3 linked regions of the Lepisosteus oculatus genome follow. The protein of the gene in region 3 interacts with the protein of the main gene of each other region in a biochemical or structural test. Links are inferred from orthologs where the notes say so. Each region holds a gene or a part of one and is shown on either strand. Other genes may lie near its edges.

Region 1 (7,781 bases), on a different chromosome or scaffold from region 3:
TGCCTGTGGCTGGAAGGTTGCTGGTTCGTATCCCGCAGCCGGCAGAGGGATCCTACTCTGTTGGGCCCCTGAGCAAGGCCCTTAACCCCAACTGCTCCAGGGGTGACGTATAAGTGTCTGACCGTGTGCTCTGACCCCAAGCTTCTCTCCCTGTCTGTGTGTCTCATGGAGAGCAAGTTGGGGTATGCGAAAAGACAAATTCCTAATACAAGAACTTGTATATGGCCAATAAAGTGATCTTATCTTACCTGCTGTAATTAATGGTCTGTGGAGAAAATTGTCAGTGACTACCAAGTACTTGGGAGTGGACTTGCAGATAAAAACCTAAGACTGGACAAATGTGACACCATTTAGAAAAAGACCAACAGAGACTCTTTTTTTTCCTTCTGAAACTCACCTATTTCTAGAACAATTTTAAGAACTATAAATATTTTTAGAAATATTTTAACACTTTTATTGAAAGTGTCTTATCACACTGTCTCAGTTGTTGGTTTGGCAGCATTAGTGTCATTAAATGAATTGAGTTGGGGGAAAATTAGTGAAAATAAGTAGCAAAATAATTGTGAAAAATCAAATAAGATATCCTCTACAAACAAAAAGTTGTACAGAAGGCCAAGAGCATTATGAGGTGTGTGTCTCACCCCCTCCATTCTGAATTTAAACTTGTCACATCTGGGAGATGCCTCTGTGTCCCCGGGTGTAAAAGGAATCTCAAGTATTGACTGTCTTCCTTATTCTTATTGTTGTACTGCGGTGTGTCATAACATAATTTTCCCCAGAGGATAATAATAAGCTTGAATTGAACTATTTTTAACACAAGCCTTTCTTTTCAGACTTATAAAGCCTACCGGGTTGGAAAATGGTCCTTAACTCAGCTGATAATTCCTGCTTGGATTTGTCATTATTATGTCAAGTATCATGTTGCGGTAAGTTTGGGATGTACTAAATACAAATATAAATTGCCATCACAATTGGCAGATGAGTAGCAGCACAAAGCCATTTTTCTTTTAGAATATATTATAGTATGTAACTATGTATTGGCTACCTGTGTATTTCATTTTAATACAGCTTTGCATGCAGTTATGGATTCTAATGATCTGTTCTTCATTTGTTCTCTTTATTCTAGATGAAACCATATGGTATTGTAGAAGCAAAACCAAGGCTGTTCCCTGTAAGTGTTATTTACCTTGTCTAGTATCCCATGTCTTATGTAGCGCTTAATAGTGTTTGAATACTGAAAATCTGCATATGGAAGACTAATCCGTTGTGCCTTCACTTTCATCTCCAAATTCATTGACAAACATTTGTGTGAACTAGGATGTCAGCCAAATAAGGTTCATAAGGAAATTAATGCTGAAGGCAATTCAGCATGTTGAAGTTAGTTATTCTGGAGGAAGCAGGTATGAAAGTGTTGAGCAATCCCGTGTGATTCGTATTGCTTGATTTATTTTAGGGGGACACAATCATGGAAACTGGAGAGGTCCTTCCTCCCTTCCCGGAAATGGAAAGCTTTGGACACCACTGAACAAGTTCCTAAAAGACAGAAAAAGCCACGTGTACTTTTCTGAGGTTAAAAGGATTTTATTTAACAATAAAACTAATTTACAAATGCCACCTTCATTTTATTTGTCCATTTTCTGTTTTGTGCCATGTACAGTTGATCTGTTTGAGTTGAAATCCTACAACAGAAGGGGCAGCAAATCCTAACCTTAACAGATCGTGTGGCGGACAAACATCAGAAATACAGAGATTGTACTTCTCTCACCTCAGTTTATTTACCTAAGGATTTTAATTTTCATAAATGTTAATTCAGGGTATTTTCAATGCCTACTTAGAAGTTACACAAACTGCATGATCAGTCTTGAGCCTTTACAGTGTCAATTACTCCCAGCAGTTAGGTTAGGATATAAAGTATAGGATTGTCTTATCTAAACAGCCATTACGATACTTTTCCCAAATTAAGTACTAAAACCCTTTATCACTGCCTGAATAATAAATTGTTAAAACTTTAAAGCTACTCTTCAGCTTTCTCTCTTTTAGCTTTGGTCTTAATTGCCTATTTAATGGGGTATCTTGATGGCTGGGTAAGGTCTTGAAAAAAGTATGAAAGTCCCAATTGATTGTCCTGCAATGAAGTAGAGAAGGCATATTTTTAACACGCATAAAGATCACAAAGTTCTAAATAATCTTTGTTAAACCAGAAGATTGAAATGCTATGACACTATATGGATTCTTTTTAAACCACAATGAAGCATATTAAGAACATTCTGTGTTGATCTTCAGTGGTGCACAAGTACTTCGAGCTGCAAATACTTTGGATCCCAGAGGGACATCGTGGATATAGCTATCGTTTAGGAGGATTTTGCTGGTCTACAGAGATGTGCATGGAGTACTGACATACAGAAAACATCATGGATTAATACCCTCATTCATTTCCTTTTTTTTTACTATATAATGTTAGCATGCCCTAAGGGGTTGGGCAGCCAGTTGACCTTGGACACCTAGAGGTTTTTTTTCTTCTTACTAAGGAGTTTTTGGTTCCTCTCCTCTGTTGTCTTCTGTTCTGTATTCACAAAATGTATGGTTACTTGCATTAAGTGCCTTGTTGTGAAAGGTGCTATACAGACATAAATTGAATTGAATACAGTTCATTCCATCTCGCAGAAAGTTTATTTATCCATAAGGTTCATCTTCCTTTTGCAGGTTGGTCTGGGTGGTACATTTAACCCCCTCCGTCCACACGCCTCAGTTCCTCAGGGACTTCAGTTATTGATCTTGAATTGCTTTTCCAGCTGCCACTGTGCTGCTATTCTCGTTCCATATATGACGTATCCCCAGGACAGGAGTACCACTGCCAAGAGTACCTTAGAAATAAAACCATTAAACTTCAACATAAGTCTTTTAATGAATTTGTATGAAAATGCTTGCTGTATAAATCACACTGAAAATTAAATCTCTTGCCCCCTGAATAATCACTAATAAGAGTTGAATGCTTTTTCCATAATTTGAAAACAAAAATACTGGAAACTATGAACAATAACAGTTGCCATAACCGGCTTTTAAAATTTGTTTTTTTTTTACAATATTACAAATAGTATTTAAAATATAAATTTATGTCTGAACAGCAAAATCTGCACACAGTTTTGCCGGAACTTGATTTGAACCTCAGACTAATTTGTTGAGAATCGTAAAACTAATAAATGGCTCAGAACGGACTTTCTGAAGATACTGAACACTGAAATACATCCATCCGTTTTACTAAATTTTAAGGCTTGAGTTCCCCCCCAATAGTTGGTTTTAAGCCACTTAAAGTAGGAAACATAAAAAATATATATTGGAATGAGTTGTGCATTAGGGTAAGACGCTTACAGTTTGAATTTATAACAACACGGGGAGTTTGAATGCTCAGAGTTCACATACAGGGGCAAAAAACAACATCGCAGCAGAACTGATCAACTCCCTGCACCCCGTCCTTTTTAAATGGTGCAATTTTACAGAAGCGAACCTAAAAACTATATTCTCGGTTTCATTACGTACATTATGAAGGACAGGTTTGTCGGTCACTTACGAGTGAGTACATCCTGTCGAGAGCTCTGCGGCTGACATAAATCATGTTGTCTCACATCAGGAACACCTTGTACCCGCCTGGCACCTCCGGACAGCTTCTGTCTAATAAATTTTCACCAGTAGCAACAGCCTTTGTCTAAAAAAACGACACCATCAACACGCTGCGGGTTAGTCCGAGTAAACACCGCCTTGCATTGCGGAAAGCCAACTGATTTCCAAAGAGACTTCACCCACAGCGCCACCGGGCGTCAGCTATTTTAATGCCCAAATCTTATTTTTTTTACATATGAATCCGCAAATGCAAGATTTAGCCAATTATTTAGCTCGTTGAAGCTACGAACATTATTCACTGTCGATATTAAATATTTGGAATACGCAAATAAAACCACTTGTGAACAATATTCAAAGGGTAGGATAATGCCTTAAGTTGAGATTCATTCATCAAACCCTTTATGTTGTTCTAATTAGTTTAGTAATAAACAGTCAGCATGACTGTAAGTAAACAAAACAGGTCGCACTGTCACTAACATGATTTGTTTTACTTCCACATTTTTTTCCGCTTATGCTCTCCGTATAGATGTAGACTCCGCCGCTTTTCCCCGCGGGAGACGTCAGTGCAATCGTACACTGTGTCTTAAGAGTAACTCCTGAGAGAGAAATCATATTGTCACCCATACTTCTGTGTGTATGAATTAGTGTTCTCATATTGTCGCTGCTGACGAATAAGCAGTTGAAAGCGACTCAAAACTGCGCGGTCACGGGTGGGTGACCCCACCAGAGGCCCTGTACGCGTTGGCTCCTCCGGGCCGCCAGGGGGCAGGAGCGCCACGGCCTCCCCTTCGCTAACCGAGCCCTCCCTCCCCGTCTCGCAGCGCAGGCCTAAAACTGCAGGCTCGCTGTGGGGAGAAATTGTTGTATCCATAACACGGATATCGGCGATTTTTTGTCATCTTGGTAGGTGAGAATGACGTTTAACTTTGAAGTCTGTCCTACATGACGTTTGATTGTGATGTCTGTGACGGGTGACCGTTTCCTCTGACGCACCGTGCCCGCGAAAGACCGGCGCAGTGGCATAAAAAAAGCAAAACTTAAAAGAGCCACTCAGCTGCTCTTGGTAGGTAAGAAAGCTTTTGCTCTGCCTATTCTTTCTTGTATATCTTTCATGTCGTTTGCTAGTTCAGTTTTAAGGAACTATGGTGGGCTAACGAGTTGTGTATTGGTACGTATTGGTTATCTAGTTCCTAGGCGGGGTTAAGACTACGAGATGCTATTTCGGGAAATAACCCAGTCACTTAGGCCTCTACAATGCGAAAGGAAGGGTTATTATGGTTATTATGTACCAACAATATTTCAGTAGATATTTAGTATTTCAGTAGATATTTAGCCAATGTGTGCATAATGGTATCTGCCATGTTTAACCAGGTCGGGGGAGAAGTGGCAGTCTAATCAAAATGTCTTCCAGTACTTGTTCCCAGGTCTTTCCGGGGGTGCAGATAGGAAAATGACAATCGATAGTTTTTAGTTGCGTGTGGTTCCTAGATTTCAACACGGAATCACGTTTGTGGACGGCGACGCCTGCACTGTGTTGGTTATCGAGAGTCAGCCGGAATGTCACTGTGTCAGTGTCAGTTCCGCTGGCTCAATGTCCAGCCTGCTTTCGCTGTAATACTAGTTTTTAAGGAATAATACAGGCAGCCTGCTCAAAGTTCACAGTACTGTATTTATTTTTAGCTGTGTTAATTGTATTTTAGCATATTTTCTGGCACACATACAGTACATGTACCCATAAACATACTGTACAGTTGTGTAGTTTATTTTACAATGGGAGGCTTTATGCCTGTAGGGTTTGATGAACGTTTGTCGTTTTGGTGAAATATATCGTTACGGTCTAGTAAAAAAAAAAATTAGCACTTATTCAATTTTGCCAAAGTATTTATTGAACGGCATATATAGAATGCTTAAAATATTAACAGGTTTGTTCAAGTCGTCGTATCGTTTATATAACCGAGATAAGCTAGGTTCGTAAGAGAAGGAGACATGGCGAAATTTCAGTGACGTCTGGATACGTCAGACTGTCTATATTTCTGCATTTACTGTAAAAAAATGGAGCAGAAATGCCAAAACGATTTGCATGCTCATCCAAAACAAGTACATTTGTTTTGAGGAGTTACATAAAGTAAATCTAATGATTTCGGTAATACACAACTGCAAAAAATACACTTTTTGGCACACAGAGCTGTTTTAAGTAGTAGTGTCTTTTGCCGTTCTTGTCTGTGAGCCTCAGTCACTGGGACAGTTTCAGCAGCATCAGGTGCCACACTAGGATATCTTTTCCAGTGGCATATAATACAGAAGTTATGTTATCCAAGACGATAGCCTCATTATTTATAGTTGAATTCTTGTCAGACTGTATAATACTTAGTTTTGTGCAAAGTAAAATGTCTAAGGAGGCCTATTTAATTAAATGTTTTGGTCACACTAACCCGATATTTGAGGTGTGAAAGGTATTCATACTTTTCAGATGCTTAATCTGTGAGATAGCGTGAACTAGAACATAAGAAATGTGTTCAAACAAATCAGATGTCATTCAACCGATCTTTCTTCTTTGGTTTCTAATAGCTTAATGAACTAAATGTACTTGGACTCTGAGGCATTCATGATTGTTTATTGGAACGAACTTCTTAATTAAGTAGGAACAGAACTTTTCTTTTTAATTAAAAAGACTCATTATTATTGAATACAACAAAGTTGTGGCATTGTTCTTCAATTTGCAGGGTTTCAAGATCTTTTTTCCTTGATTTGTAAGCCTTTTGGCTGACTGCTAAAAGCTGAGACATCTACAAATGCACTGATATGTGGATGCATTGTTGATGTCCCTTTTATTTCTAAACACCTATATTTCAATCTAGTATTTAAGGAATGATTTCACTCCAGCTAATACCTGTTTTAATTATTATTGCACTTTATGATGATTTTTTGTGGTTTGAAATTCTCTGTTATTTTTAAGATATTGAAAAAAGACTGCACAACACTGGGGTATATTATAGTGTTGAAATATACTTTATAAATTGTAACACGCTTTTGTTTTTTTATTTTTGAGGTGATGGCATCTACCAAGAAGAAGTTGAGGATGCGCAAGAAGTTTTCCCCCAAAGATGGAGCCAGCAAAGTGTCACAGACTGTATTGGTGGAAGCATCTCCAGACTCCAAATGCCCCATTTGCCTGGACAAATTCAACAACATGGCACACTTGGACCGCTGCCTTCACAAGTTCTGCTTCCGGTGCATACATGAGTGGTCCAAAAACAAAGCAGAGTGCCCGCTATGCAAGCAGCCTTTCAACTCCATCTTCCACACCGTAAAAGCCGAGGACGACTTCAAGGAATTCGTCCTGCGCCCGACGGAAAACGGCTCTTTTGGCAGCCCAGACGGGCATCGGTTCAGGTACCGCACCACCTTGACAAGAGAGCGCAGGCAGTTCAATCCCCCGAGGAGGACATCGCCACCCCCAGACAATGGGGTGATGTTTGAAAGCCTGAGCAGTGCATCCGCGCAGCAGCACAACAGAGGAATTCACCGCATGATGCTGAGGCTGGCTGCAAGGAGGAGAGCCCAGATTGAGGGAAGGTCTGTGCGTCACATGCGGGAACAAGAGATCATCAACTTCAGGCGGGCTCTGTATCGCACTGGCGTGCGGGTAAGGAGTGTCCGAGATGGGGGGCGCTATCGGGACATCTCTGCTGAATTCTTCCAGAGGAACCCAGCTTGTCTACACCGTCTCGTGCCCTGGCTGAAAAGGGAGCTGACTGTGCTTTACGGTGCTCATGGCTCTCTGGTGAACATTGTGCAACACATCATCATGTCCCGCATCACTAGATACAACATGGAAGACCAAGCCATCCAGGATGAGCTGCGGCCCTTCTTGCTGACTCGCACTGACCACTTCCTACATGAGTTTATCAGCTTTGCACGGTCCCCTTACAATATGGATGCCTATGACCAGCATGCCATTTATGACTGCCCTGCACCGTCTTATGAAGAAGGCAGCAGCTCGGACTCATCAGTCATTACCATTTCGGCCGATGAAGCTGATTCTGGAGAGCGGAATCGCCCTTCCCTCAGCGTGGCAGGCAGTGGCTTGAGCCAAGCGCCGTGGGACGATGAAACTCCTGGCCCATCTTACTCAACAGTAGAACAGGTACAGCTGCCCTCAC
Region 2 (6,523 bases), on a different chromosome or scaffold from region 3:
CAAAATTACACATCGATGTAGAATAGTTACATACTGTCTTCAGAATGAAAGGATTGACGTCAGAAGATTTAAATTAATGCAATACGACTTATATGAATGTCACTATATAATATATATTGAGCAATATTCTCAACACATATCAGAGTTGATGTGTGTTTACAGCAGGAAAACATACAAGAATAATATTGCTATACTGCATATGTACAGTAGCGTGAAGTTTAATTATGCATTTTTCTAATTATGGTTTTCTTAATAGTGCATTATGATCGTTGGTGTTGTGTACATATTAGGCATATGTGAATGTTATTACTCATTTAATTTACTGGTATTAAGCATAAAGGCTAAAGGAAAATGTGTGTCATTTAAATAGAACAAAAGGCAAACAGAAGTGTGCTTGGATTTCTTAACAGAATACGTGTTAGGAGGAAAGGAGTGCTAAAATTAGTATTTCAGGGCAGAATTTGAATACTTAATTTATATGAGATTTACTTTAACGACTTCATAACCAACCTCGCCCCCCCAAGTCCAAAAAGAGAAAAGCTATAAGCAATATACCAATAGGTGAAAAAAGGTTTATTATAAAAAAGAAATAATATTTACATGTTTTTATTTTGTATCACATATATAATATAGAAAACAGCATAACTGAAAAAATATAAATTATTGAGGGCCCGTTTCGGGTTTTCACCACACAGCAGAGTTCCATACGTTTAGCCCATAAAGGCAGGGCTGTTGATCGTGGTAAGTCTTGTACATGGTCGCGAACAGTGACGCTCTTATCAAGTCCTCCTCCGTGCCCAAGCAAGGCAGTCCAGTGGCTCTTTTAAAGGGGTCTTTGCCATATTCGGTAGCCAGCTGTTTCCGTTTGGTTTTGTATCTCCTGTTTTGAAACCAGATTTTGACCTGTGTCTCCGTGAGCCGCAGGCTGTGGGCCAGGTGCGCCCTCTCCGGGGCCGACAGGTACTTCTGGTGGCTGAATTTCTTTTCCAGCTCCAGCACCTGCAAGTGCGTGAACGCCGCCCGGGAGCGCTTCTGCTTACCGCCTGAGCTCCGACTGTCCGCGGACCGGCCGCGGCCACACTCCGGGGAACTGCCACAAGGCGGTCTTTCGTTGCGGTCTGCGGGGACAAAATCATTTGTTCAGCTGTTTTTCGGTTACAACACATCATGCCAACAATGTTCGATTTCCTATAAGAAAGGCAACACAGATTACAGACTTTATTTTTATGAAAGGCTATATCATCCCAAGGCCATTTAAGGTTATAACTTAAGGGTAATGATAATGCATTGTTTTTTTGTTTTCATTTAGGTTATTACAACATACAGTGAAATTAATGGGATAATGACAGTCCTTAAATTGTTATTTTTTAAAAATGTCTGTCATTGATCAGGACTGACTAGATTTAACAGATGTTTCCTGTCGTTTACTAGCTACATTGTAAGAGCGCAGATTTCAGGTAGCCCAACGGACCGATATTCTAGTTTATCGATTATTTTACACCCTGGCATTCACAACAACTTTTACAATAAAAACGTCAAATTGCGCCTTTAGAAATGTAATGCAAACTGTCTAGAATGGTTCTGCGCAAATCCTTCTCCCATCACCCGAGATTTAAAACTTATTTCCCCTTCCTTCCCCACGAAGATGAATTTGTAACCCGTTTAGATCTTCCGTTCGGAAGTTTGCAGAAGACTGTGGAGTTTCCTCACCGTTTCCCACAGCCTTCAAGTCCGTCGAGGTGTTTTTGTCGTGTGAGCCAGTCTCACGAGCATGGCTGAAAGACTCCTGGATGTCTTCGTTTGTGGAATCTGCACACGCAAAAGCCCTTTCGCCAGTGGCGCACCGTGTGTCCCGACCTGCCGAGATGCTGTCGGGGCTTTTATCGCGTTCCCTCGGTTCTTTGGCACAGGCGTACCTTGGGGTGCTCAAGCGTGACTCTTCCTTAAAGGCCAAAATGTCTTGAATAAGAAACGACGTTAACGGTTTAACAGAAGCAGACATTCTGTCAGCCACACAGCAGCTTGGTCCCACAGCAAGAAACAGATTTTGTTCTATGATCAATAGGATCTTAAAACCGTTCTGCAGCTCTTTCCTTTGCGCCTCCTCGATTTATACAGGACTAATCGCAGACGTTGTCGTTCCTTCTCATTGGAAGGTGACTCATAGGGAGAATATCATTGGCTGGGCCGGAGCTAATGACAGAAACAGATCTGCTCAGTTCACACTTTTTTTTACCTGATAAATCACTACGGTGTTTTTATTTCGGATAGTCTATCCTTGCGCAGTGATGACATCTACAGTACTTTTCAATTTCATATGTTAATTGAGTTTCATATGTAGAAAATATGCATTGAACCTTTATTATTATTTATAGACAATCGCTATAAAGTTTTTTAAAAGATTTTCACGGATGTTAGGTCTGTATGTAAGATATGCATAGGATATTTATGATTGTAGGCAATCGTTACGTTTTTAAAATGTTTGAACGAATTTTAGTTTTATGGTAAAAAATACACATAGGACTTTTATGATTGTTTGTGGGCAATCGTTACGTTTTTAAATATTTTAACGGATTTCAGTGTTTTATCGTGATCTTTACGTTTTTTTCACTCACTGCATTTAAAAAAACAAACTGGGCATCCTCGCAGAAATTAAACCATATTAAGCTGCACTTCGCAAATAATAAAAAGAGAAATTTGCACTGATTAACAGTGAATGCGCGTAGCCGTAGCAAATGTTAGGATACGTGAAACATGAAATATTTCAAAATGACAGCATTTTTTTAAAAATTATGTAGTGAAACTGTAACATATTGTATGCACTAGACATGTTCTGCCTCACAATCAGTCGTTAAACGACTTAACGACTAATAATTCTTGCACCTGTACAGTTTGTTCATGAACAATTAAACGACACGAAGACAATTTCCCCATTTGTAATATTATTATTTCTAAATCAGGTTTCCATTTGCGCTGGCAGGTAGGCTTGGGGAAAATAAAAGTATTTTGAATACGCCTGTTAATATATGCGTTTGAAATGTTCAGATTTGACAAAAATCACCGTTTACATTAACGGGAATTTCATGCACAGGACGGATTAAATGCAGCAGAAAAGTAAAGCAATACGAAACTTTTGCTTATCAATGGCAATTAGTATTATTTGGAAAAATAATTTTATGTGAGGACTACAGTACAATACTACATTACTTGAAAAGCATCAATTTGCTTTGGTGGGAAAACTGTTTTTTCTTTCACTCTGTCTACAGAAATGCAATTGGTATTACCTTTGATGCCTTGTGTTGGAGCATTTTATTCAAAATATTTCTAAACTAAAATTATGGCTTTCTACAGCTTCACTGCATAATGACAAAGGATTGAGTAGATCAGACCATGTGCCATATTTGTTCTTATTACTTCTAAAATATAATGCTATATACTGTATATAACTTGTTACAAGTCATAAGGAAATGTTAGGCTATTAAATACCTACACACAGGTACACAGATTGAAGAGTCTGTAGGACTGCAGGACCACTGTGTTGGATTTATGCTTAACCACACGTTAATTGATTTCAGCTTTCTATTTTGAAAATATTTGTAAGTTTTGTAAACCGACTGAATTGGCAATTCAATTAGTATCAACCCAGTTCTGACTTCCGTTTTCAGAACCACCCTCGTTTGGGCACGGTGCCTGAAATGTAAGATATTAGCCCTCTGGAGGAGGCAGAAATCGTGGGCGTGTCTTCTACTGTGTCATTCCCACCTGCGGCTGTTCTTCCTCCGCTGATCAGGAGGCAGGAGCGGTTTTCATGAGAAGCAATGGCCGATGTGGTGACGGAGTGGATGAGGAACGTTTGTGCACTGACATATTTAGAAACCGAAATCCACGAAGTAGGTTATTTTTTACATTCAGTACTGACCAAGGCAATATGTTGAAAAAAAGTATAAACAAGCCCAATTAACCTGAACAGCCCAATTAAATCACCAATTAGCGCTGGAGATATAGAGCTCAGCTGGAATGGAATTCAGAAGACAGTGTTTCTCCAGGACTGGAGCTGGGAAGCCGTTCTGTAGACAATGGACTGTAGGCTTACTCTGTTACATTTGACATATCATTTAATACCAAATAACAGATTGTCTCCAGTTTACATGTTGACCATAGGTTGTGTATAATTGGATGTTAATGACTGATACACCACAACCAATTTAATTTAATAAGAACAAAGACATTTTTAACAAGAGCAAAGCAGTGAACTGCAGGAAGGTGGGTAAGTCTGTTGTGTGTTTTGTCTTTGAGCATTAATTAACCTACACTTAGATGTAACTAGCAAAATAACAGTAGTTTCTGAGGTTATAAACATGAGATAAGATAACGCCTCAAGGTCCTGGTGAGGGTTTAATTCATTGTTCATCCCAGTAAACAGATTACTGAAAAACACTGGTTCCTATGGCTGATACAACATCGTTCTTTCTCGTTAGTGCCATTTATTTTTTTTATTTTTTTTAGCTGTAGTGCTCATTTCAAGTTGCATCATGATGAGCAGTTCCAGAGTTGTGATGCATTTCTGTAGCCTTAGTTTTCACTTCAAGTGGAGCTGAGGATGCTGTTATTAAAGAGTATTGATGCTCATAAAAAAACAAAATGTGCTGAAATAATTTTTGGTATGGTGCCAACTGGCAACATTCAAGTGCAAGCTCCTGTGCGGAGCAGCATATAAGGGCTATTTGATTCTGAATACTGCTACACTGTATTTGGGTCCAGTCCAGAGTCATTTCAGAACCATCCATCTATTTCATTATTTTACAAAATGCTGATAAATGCTTTACCAAAAGATTTCCAGCATAACTATTTCAAATATATACAAACATAACCTAAAAACATATATCATTAATGTTGAGCTAGAATTACTTTCTGCAGTTATTTCTAGTCCATCTTTAATAAAAGTTTATCCTCTTTTAATTTACATTATGTGGTCTCTGGTGCAGAGTCCCCTAGTTGCTCTGAGGTCAGTGGTGTATGGTACATATATTGTGGAAGCACACAGTTTTTTTTTTCTGGTTTTGCATTCTGATATATTTTTACAGTGTTGGTTCTGTCCTCATACACCAGATTACCCAGCTACAGCGGGAGAAATTTCTCCAAAATTCAAAATATGTCAAGAGACATTTCAGTAAGGATTTCATATGGTTTTGCAGATCATTCAAAAATTTCACTTTGTGGGGGAAAAAAAGGCAATGGAACAACAACAACAATAATAATATAGAAACATAGGCATGGATGTTTTTTGGAGGGTGAGCCAGAGGACTCCAGACCAGAGGGTTGTGAGTTCAAATCCAGCTGATGCTATGCCTCCTAGCAAGGTATTTAAAGCAAACCCACCTGGTTTAATCTGAACCATCATTTGAGAAAATATGGTGATTGTAACCTCTTCAAGCTGCTTTGCTTAAAGGCATCAGATATATTAATTCATAAAGATCTTTACCACTTAATGATGTGACCTACAGCTTTGTGTCGTCAACAGAAGGCCTCTGAAAACAGTTGAAACTGGCTCGGAGAAGGAAACTGTGGTGTGTTAATGTCACCCCATCTGTTATACATCCCTCATAAATAGCTCGGCTATCATCATCATCACAAAGTAAAAATGTACAACTCAGTCAAAGTTAGACCCAGAATGTGTCAGATTGGGATTTCTTGTTTTTACTAGCCTGATATTGTATCTGTGGCATTATTTGTGTAGCATAGTTGTTGTTTACTTTTACAGGGCGGAGAATGAAGAATTTTTCTGGGTCAGGGTTAAAGTGAGTAGTTTATTTGTTTTTCAAGATGTTTCTAAATATTTCCAAACTACTAACAATGTCTGGTTAGAACCTGAACCAGTTTAATTATCATCATCATCATAATCTTATGGCATTGCTATTTTGATTTTTATCTGTTTGGGTATTTCTTGATGATGTATTAACCACAAGTCCTGTCTATGTATCTGGTTATGGTACCTTAATAAACACAGAGTCATACCCTTTAGGTCACCCAGGAAGTTTTGTTTCACAGAACAGTCCTATGTGTCATGCAATTCTTTTTTTTTAATCAAGTGATTTGCTGTTTTCTGTACAAGATACCACCCAACACCAACATTGAATATTAACGAAGTCAATGTAGATGCTTCTTAGTGCAGTGTGTATCGCGCTAAAAATTAACTTCTTCTGAATGCCATGTAAGTAAAAAGAACTGATATTTTTGGTTGAAGAAAAAGGAATTATGCAACCCTCCTCCCTCCTACCCTGTGTGTTCAGTAGGAATGAATGAAATGTATTCAATGCTGGCTTGTACAGGACAGTTGTAAGATAAGACTATCTCCCAGATAACAACTCAACACAGCTCTGGATACAGCTCCTGGGACTCTTATCTGTTTGGCTGGTAAACAGCTGTGAAAGATTTATTGTGCAACGGGATAGCTGTAGTATTTTCAGATGTGCCCTGAGTGTCAGAGCACCCTCACCCTGGGTTCTGGGGAGTGAATTAAGTT
Region 3 (7,150 bases):
CTCTTAATCTTTCATGGCCTGAATTTTTGTTTTTGTGCATAAAGTAAGAATTGCTCTTTGCAAAACAATTAGAGATTTTTCTTTTGATGGGAAAAAAAAGTCAAAAATATAATAGAGTAATATTTACAGGCAACAGGAGCTAGAGGTCCATAAGCCATGTGTGCAGCAATGCGTAATGTCCTGATGTTGTTTGGTTATTGGATGATGGATTTATTTAAGGTGTGCATGTAGTGTTTTATTATAGGCATAAAATGATCCATTTTATACATTTTTCAAGGAAGAGTGAGACACGTCACTGACTAATGATTCAGCTGGAAAAAAGAACCAAAGCGTTCAATGAAAAAACAGCCGTGTGGTGAAATTAAAAAAGCAATGCTTTTTCATTCATGCAAAGAAAAACTTTGCGGAGTGTGCACCTTGAATGTGGTCGAGATTCATTTATTTTACTGGCACACAATTCACATCTGGCATGTTGGAAGATGAACTCTGGCCAGTGTCCACCTGGATTCTGCAGGCTAATGTATTTTGATATGACTCTGCAGTGCTGCCATGCCAGAAGCCCAGATTCAGAGTTTATAGATTTCTTTTAGTGATGTTTTAAAGTCCTTTCAGGCCATAAATGGTTTTTAAATACATACACAGGCAGATATGAATGTTAACACCCATTTATCTTAAGCCAATTCTGTAGAACATCTTGGATACCACTTCTTTGGGTAAAAGGGCATTTGTTACATCTAATAAATCAATGAAAAGCTTTGTTTAGATAAATGCATGCTGTCAATCTGCACATGTGACAGTTTGCAAATGTGTATGCCTGCATTGCATGTCTCCAAGAGGACATCAAAAAGTGCATCTGGGAATTACTCACCTTGTAATTTGTAGTATAGGCCTTTTTCGCATACACACTCATCTGCTACCACTTCACGCAAGCTTAATGCCCTTGTTGGTTGGTTCCCGAGCCATTCCTGCTGCACCAGTAGAATGTCAAAGAGCTGACGCCTTAGGGCTTCCTCCTTTGGACCAAACTGGACTGAAAGGAACAGCTTAAAACGAGCTCTTCAATACACTGCACCTCTCACTGTATGCTTTTCACCTCCAGCAGTTGCCTTTTTTCACTGCAAAGCAACTATGCACTGGAAGAAGCACTCTGAACTCCTGTGTATATATATCTAACACTGTACATATGAATGCACACACACATACGTTTCCTTGGCTATATACACTGTAATAGAAGGTTAAAATCTAGAGGTATCAAACCAAAAGCTGCAGTTGCAAATTTCTCAAAATGTTAATTTAGTTATTAGAATAGTGTATGAAAGTATCTTTGTTGGAAAACAAATTGCAATTTTTGTTAATGCTTTTGATGACTTTTTAAACTCTTATATTCTTATTCTTCAATTTTGCTTATAAACACTATAGACAGGTTTCGGAGAGAATATTTGTGAATTTCACCGTGTCCCATATGGGATTTGAACCCACAAGGTATTGTAAGATGGGCTTTTTAGATTTGTGTTTGTTTTCTGCCTAATGACACTAATAAACTCCAAATGTTTAAAAAAATAACATTGTAGATGATCATCTTTCGCATCACAAAATAAGGATAAACCTATCGATAAACATTTGTTTACTGTGAATTATAATAGATGATTACATCTACTGGGGAGCACTCCTCACTCCCAGGTCCAGTTTGTGCATTGCGTTTGAGAATGCAAGCTGTGACATGCAAGCTGTTTGCTGGTATATGCTCAGTTGGTGCTGAGATTATTCCATTATTCCTGGGTGTGCCACTGACTGATGGTGTATTCTGTTTTTTAAGAACTTTTAACAGCTTCCAGCTTCTCTTTGGACCTCATTTATCTTAGTCTCACTGTCAATCAGATATCTTGCATTGCTTACGTTCTGAGATAAATTAATTCACTTGCTTAATTATAAAGGGGAGCATGAAGGCGCATTGGTTAGCATTCTGCCTTGCAGCACAGAGCCACTGGGTTGCTGTATGAAGATTGTGTGTTCTCCTCGCGTTGATCTGGGTTTCCTCCAGGTGCTCCTGTTTCCACCCGGAGTATGAAGACATACTGACAGGTTAACGGACTTCTGGGAAAACTGACCCGGGTGTGAGTGTGTGTTCCTGTCTGTGTTTGTCCTGCGATGGTGTGTCCCATCTTGAAAATGAAAGGATGGAAGGATGGGCGAAGGGCTGTTTGATAAGAGTTCATCACTTTGTTGCTTTCTCTGTTTTTTTTTCTATCTGATCCACTGCTTTGGAATGCCATCGCACAAGTAGATCAGAGTGAAGAAGGGAGAACCTGATGATTATCTGAACCATTTCAACCGAACCGGTTTATGAATTCACAAAGATCGCCACTAAGATCTGCAGGCAAAGTGTTTGCATGTGTACATGACAATTAATATATTAAATATTAGAAAGAAAAGAAGAAAGCTTGCTGGGATATGGTCTGGCTCCTCCTCTACCCTGTATTGTAGTATTTAAATGATGGATGGAATAAAAGAAAAAATTGAATGTTGTTATTACATTTTTTTTTCCAGATGTCAGGGTGTTAATTTTCAAACTGTGATCTTTTATGTGTCCAGTTGACTGTTACAGGAGTCACGAGAGTACATAAAATTCACAATTATAGATCATCCCAGAATAAACCATGAATGACTTCACTTGAACTTCTCATTTTACACTGGGCAACACGAGGCTTACCACAAGTTGTTATTCAAAGTGTAGATAAAATAAACACCTTTAATTATATGCTATTTTTATAAAGTTTTGTCTGTCCTTGACAGGTTAACCTGTCAAATCTGACATGGAATGTGCAACATTCATGATTTCCTTGATCTTTTACTCTCAAAAGTGGCCTGGTGTTCTGTCTTGAAACTACTGGAAGGCATGTTATATCTTGTATTTATACTGTCTTTTTCTTGCTGCTAATGTCACCTGTGTTTGTCATAGTAAAACCAAGTCCTATTGTTGTGATAGCAGTGAATCTCTAATGTGCAACTGTGTTTTGACAACAATTAGAGAGGAAGGCAATATTGTTGTGTCAGTGGAATTTCAGGTTTAAAAAAGGAACTGTGTTTTTGAGAAATTCTGAAAAACATGACCTCAATCATTACAGCCCAGGTGACTTGCAACAGCAGAAAGGAAGCTATGATGTAACACTGTGGCTTCTGTTTATCATGGTATCTGGTTTTAATTTCAGAAGCTCTTGCATGCTCACTTTATTCAGGGGCAAAAGAACAGAGCCTTTATTTATCTCTCAAGTACGGGATTTTACATCTTATGAAGAGTAAACAGAGCCTGTATTTGATAATATGGCCTTTGCTGGCATTCAATGTTATTTGGCTCATGCAGCTTTGATTATGCACCCATGATGAGAACTAGAAACAAGGAAACAGAAAAGCATCAGAGCTACTGGAAACCTACCTTGAAATCACATCAGAACAGTATTGCTCCACCAAATCGATTCAACCGGATACAAACACTCTTCACAATTAGGGACACAATGCCAAGCATAGTGATGGGGAAACTACTGCAAAAAGGCATCGGATGAGACGTAAAAAAACCGAGGTCCTGACTCTCTGCGGTCATTAAAAATCCCAGGTAGTTTCTCGAAAAGAGTAGGGGTGTACCCTGGCAGAGTATAACCCTTCAAACTCTTTAAAAACAAGCGTGCTATGACTAATGTACATGTCTCTCTAACATGCCTTTGTTAGAAAATAATCCAGAGTAAGTTATTTGTACTATTGTCTAAAGAAAATCAGTTTGGCAACTGCAACGAAAAGGATATTTCAATCAACACAGTGACACGCGGGAAAAAAAAAAACAACAACAACTGGTCGGTCTTAACAACTCCCGTTTTTAATAATAGCGAAACTCGGTACAATATCTACCAACGTGACGCGCAGCTCCTGCCGTGCGCTCGCTTTTGTGACGTGGGGGTTACATCGCTGGTGAAACCCCACGAGTCGTTTCCTAGGTGCGTCCACGTGTGTGTATTTCTTGGAGCTGGCGCAGGGGCACGGCACATTCACACATCGGCCGCGGAGATCTTCATTGCCACATGGCTAGCGGCTCCCCACGCTCGCACTAGCAGTGCTGGTGTGTGCACGCAAAATGGGGAGGAGCCAGTAGGCCGAGACGCATTTTTTTTTACCCATTTAAACGAGCTGAGCATGCGCAGTGAATAAAAAGTGGGACTTAGTCTGTTACACAACTGTTTCTTTCTCCATTCTGCTTACTGCTCCTCGCCGGCAATTGCTCTCAAGACATTTCATACTTTAATTTTAAAATAAGGAACCAGGAAATGAGTGGGGATCAAGTTCACAACGACTCCCAGGTAACGTTACATGAAATATGTTGTGTCATGATCAGTAGACCTCGGCTTTGACAGATAAGGTTTAAATCGTAACCTTAAGCTGTAATATAGTGAAAATTGATGGTAGAAAATTGAACAAAATTGCTTCGTGTCCGCGATCAGAGAGTACGTTGGTTTTAGGAGGTGTTGGTGGTTAACTAATAACTTTATAAGAAGTTTAAAGCCATTTTTGTGCTAGAACAATCTATGAAAAGCCATTTTCGCATAACCTTAGTTGAAACTTACTGTACATATATTTTTAATAATAGCTTGACATCTATAAATATTTTTTTTCAGATCGACACGGGATCTCGAGTTAATGGTAAGTATTGTGTCCCCACCAAATGTTATGTAATTATACTTGCTCATTTTCTATATTTTACTCCCGTTAGTGATGAGCCTGTATTCTGTAGTTAGTTTTTTAAGGACAGAAATGGCGTCCCAGAGACTAAGTCCCTTCTCCTTTACTCTCAAGCTCCTATTGTTCAAATGGAGGGCTTATAAACCACACTTAAAATGCTCCGTTTTTCCAGATGAACCCGGATTCTGATAGGGATGGATATTGTTTTTCCCAAAATGTCCCCCGATTGCTTCTGGAAGGGGCTTATAAGGGCGTATTTTGGTGCCGAAAGTTGGGGTTTGGGGGTTGAGGACTTAGTCTCTGCGCCATTTTCTTTTTCTGTGCTTAGTCTCTCAGTGCCGAGAACACAAAGTGCAGATCGCCGTGATATGGAGGTATGGGGATCTTCTTAGGAACGGTTTGTAGGAATGAACGCGTCTTTTTTTTTCCTTTTTCTTTATCACAGTGCAATATGAGGGGTATTTAATTACATTTATTTTCAGTTTTTATTTTTTTAAGAATGTGATCTTTAAATTGTCCGCCGTTATTAGAATATCACACCGGTTTGTGGCATAATGTTTAAAATATTTTTTTTAGACAGACCCTTGGCAATGTTTGGGGTTCAAACGTTAATGCCAGAGGGGTAGTTTAAAAGTGCACAGTTATATTTTACTATCATTAATGAAGGATGTTTTCCTTAATTGAACCCTCGTAATTTTTGAATACCACCATTAGCTGTTGAATTATAAACTTTCAAACTTATTATGAAAAAAGGTAACCGGAGAAAATAGTACAGTGAACTTTATTTTGGCTGCATTTTGAAGAATACTGCCTTGAATTGGGTTTCTAAGAAAACAGCATAGTTTTGTGAATTTAACAGTGTTACCCATTGTGTCATTTTAACCAAAAGGATGCTGGGGTTTTGAAGGTGGTAAGGATTTGTGCAAAACCTCATTTGGTGAAATATGCTTTTGAACTTCAGGTTTGACCAGGAGGCTAAGATATAAATTGAATTATTTTGTTTTATTAAAATATGTTTCCAACGTCTTCCACCTCCAGACTTTTGAACCTCCCTGTAGAGGTGACCTATGCTGTCAGAGACAACTTTTTAGTTTTAAAATCAAAGTGTGTTGGATTGCACAAAATGTGTGTTTACTGGGCACCTATGTAAAAAGGAAACATCGTTGTCATCTGCATTCCTTTTTTAAAAAAACTTTGTACAGCCTGGAGATCCCGGGTTTTCCAGAAATTATAAAACTGTTCAGTGTAATTTTAATTACCCTTTAATGAAAGTTAGGGCTAATAAAGAGTAGCTGAATTTCAAAATGTAAATGGAAGATTCTGTTGTACTGTTTATTTTATTTTTTGCTTAAACTTATCCATTTGATTTTTGTCTTTTTAGTTGTCTTTCAGCTTACTTAACCTGCTTGCTTACATTCTATGAGACTAGTTTGTCGTCGGTGATGAGCAGCACTTTCTCCACAAGTCGCATTTAAGAAATGTTTTTGTGTCGGGGGTTAAAGGGAGTGTATTATTGTATGGAAAGCAGGTATCGTTTTTTTTTTTCATTTCAACCCTCACTTCAGCGACCGTTTGGGACCGAGGATGAAACTTCAGTTCAGTATATAGTCTTGCTTGTTTGAGAAGTACTTCTCTGTTTTCCTTGGAGAAGGCCGTCTTTCCATTTTAAACATTTTGAAATGTGGCCGACGGCACACTGGTTAGAGAATAATCTTGTCTTTATGTTGCACTTTAGTTGCCACACGGTTCTGTTTACAGTGCATGTTAAAAATTAATTTGCTGAAAAATCGCTCGCAATCAATCACGTAAAATGTTCTTAAAGTCGACAAAAGGCGACTTCGGTTTTTCTTTCTCCCCCCTCTATGGAAGACTGTTCCAGGCATCCTATCTCTGGAGTTGTGAATGTGTTGCATGGGCGGTAGCAGTGTTAGCATAGTTAGCTAAACCTGGTTTACCCCAACCACCACCACCACCGAGGCCCTGAATGACTGAAAAGTGTTACAGTTATCTACGCTATATACAAAAAATCCAACTTCTTATTCCTAAAATGAAATTAACTGAAAGAAATTGCTGGTGGGCCTTGGAGTTGTGGTTGTGTGAGTGAATGCAATGTCGCTGTTGAGAAAGCATGTTGTGATTGTTTGGAGGTGACTCTTTTTTGTTTTGTTTTTTTCCACACTGCAATCATTCTCCTATCCTGAAGTATACGCGTGCAGTGTTAATAGAGGTAGGCCAGTGACTGCGTTCTTTCCTGTCTCGCACAGAAATCTGCAGACCAGAGGTGCAGCACTATTCAAACCAGAGCTTACACTGGGCTGTTTTAAAGTTTCCCTGGGCTCTAGTGTGTGAGATTGAAGGCAGGCACATGCTGAGCCTCATGTGTGATCCTAGTAATTCAAAACCTTGTTCTTGGAGCAGCTCACAT

Evidence for each region.
Region 1: of the proteins of DNA topoisomerase 1 (region 3) and toporsa, one has a biochemical effect on the other in vitro, tested with the Homo sapiens proteins (2 studies listed by BioGRID). The link is inferred for Lepisosteus oculatus from reciprocal best matches to the Homo sapiens genes TOP1 and TOPORS.
Region 2: the proteins of DNA topoisomerase 1 (region 3) and nkx3-1 form a complex in vitro, tested with the Homo sapiens proteins (2 studies listed by BioGRID and IntAct). The link is inferred for Lepisosteus oculatus from reciprocal best matches to the Homo sapiens genes TOP1 and NKX3-1.

Annotation. Positions count from the first base shown.
Region 1 is NC_090696.1:72,086,931-72,094,711, forward strand, and holds the start of toporsa (topoisomerase I binding, arginine/serine-rich a), read left to right. Parts: upstream 1-4,694; 5' UTR 4,695-4,729; coding exon 4,730-4,786; intron 4,787-6,667; coding exon 6,668-7,781. Other genes in the region: ndufb6 (NADH dehydrogenase [ubiquinone] 1 beta subcomplex subunit 6), read left to right, coding at 834-926, 1,127-1,171, 1,454-1,525. UniProt on the Homo sapiens protein: Functions as an E3 ubiquitin-protein ligase and as an E3 SUMO1-protein ligase. Probable tumor suppressor involved in cell growth, cell proliferation and apoptosis that regulates p53/TP53 stability through ubiquitin-dependent degradation.
Region 2 is NC_090697.1:72,162,855-72,169,377, reverse strand, and holds nkx3-1 (homeobox protein Nkx-3.1), read right to left. Parts: upstream 2,095-6,523; 5' UTR 2,003-2,094; coding exon 1,711-2,002; intron 1,119-1,710; coding exon 685-1,118; 3' UTR 559-684; downstream 1-558.
Region 3 is NC_090711.1:6,856,915-6,864,064, reverse strand, and holds the start of DNA topoisomerase 1, read left to right. Parts: upstream 1-4,060; 5' UTR 4,061-4,313; coding exon 4,314-4,346; intron 4,347-4,661; coding exon 4,662-4,686; intron 4,687-7,150. UniProt on the Homo sapiens protein: Releases the supercoiling and torsional tension of DNA introduced during the DNA replication and transcription by transiently cleaving and rejoining one strand of the DNA duplex.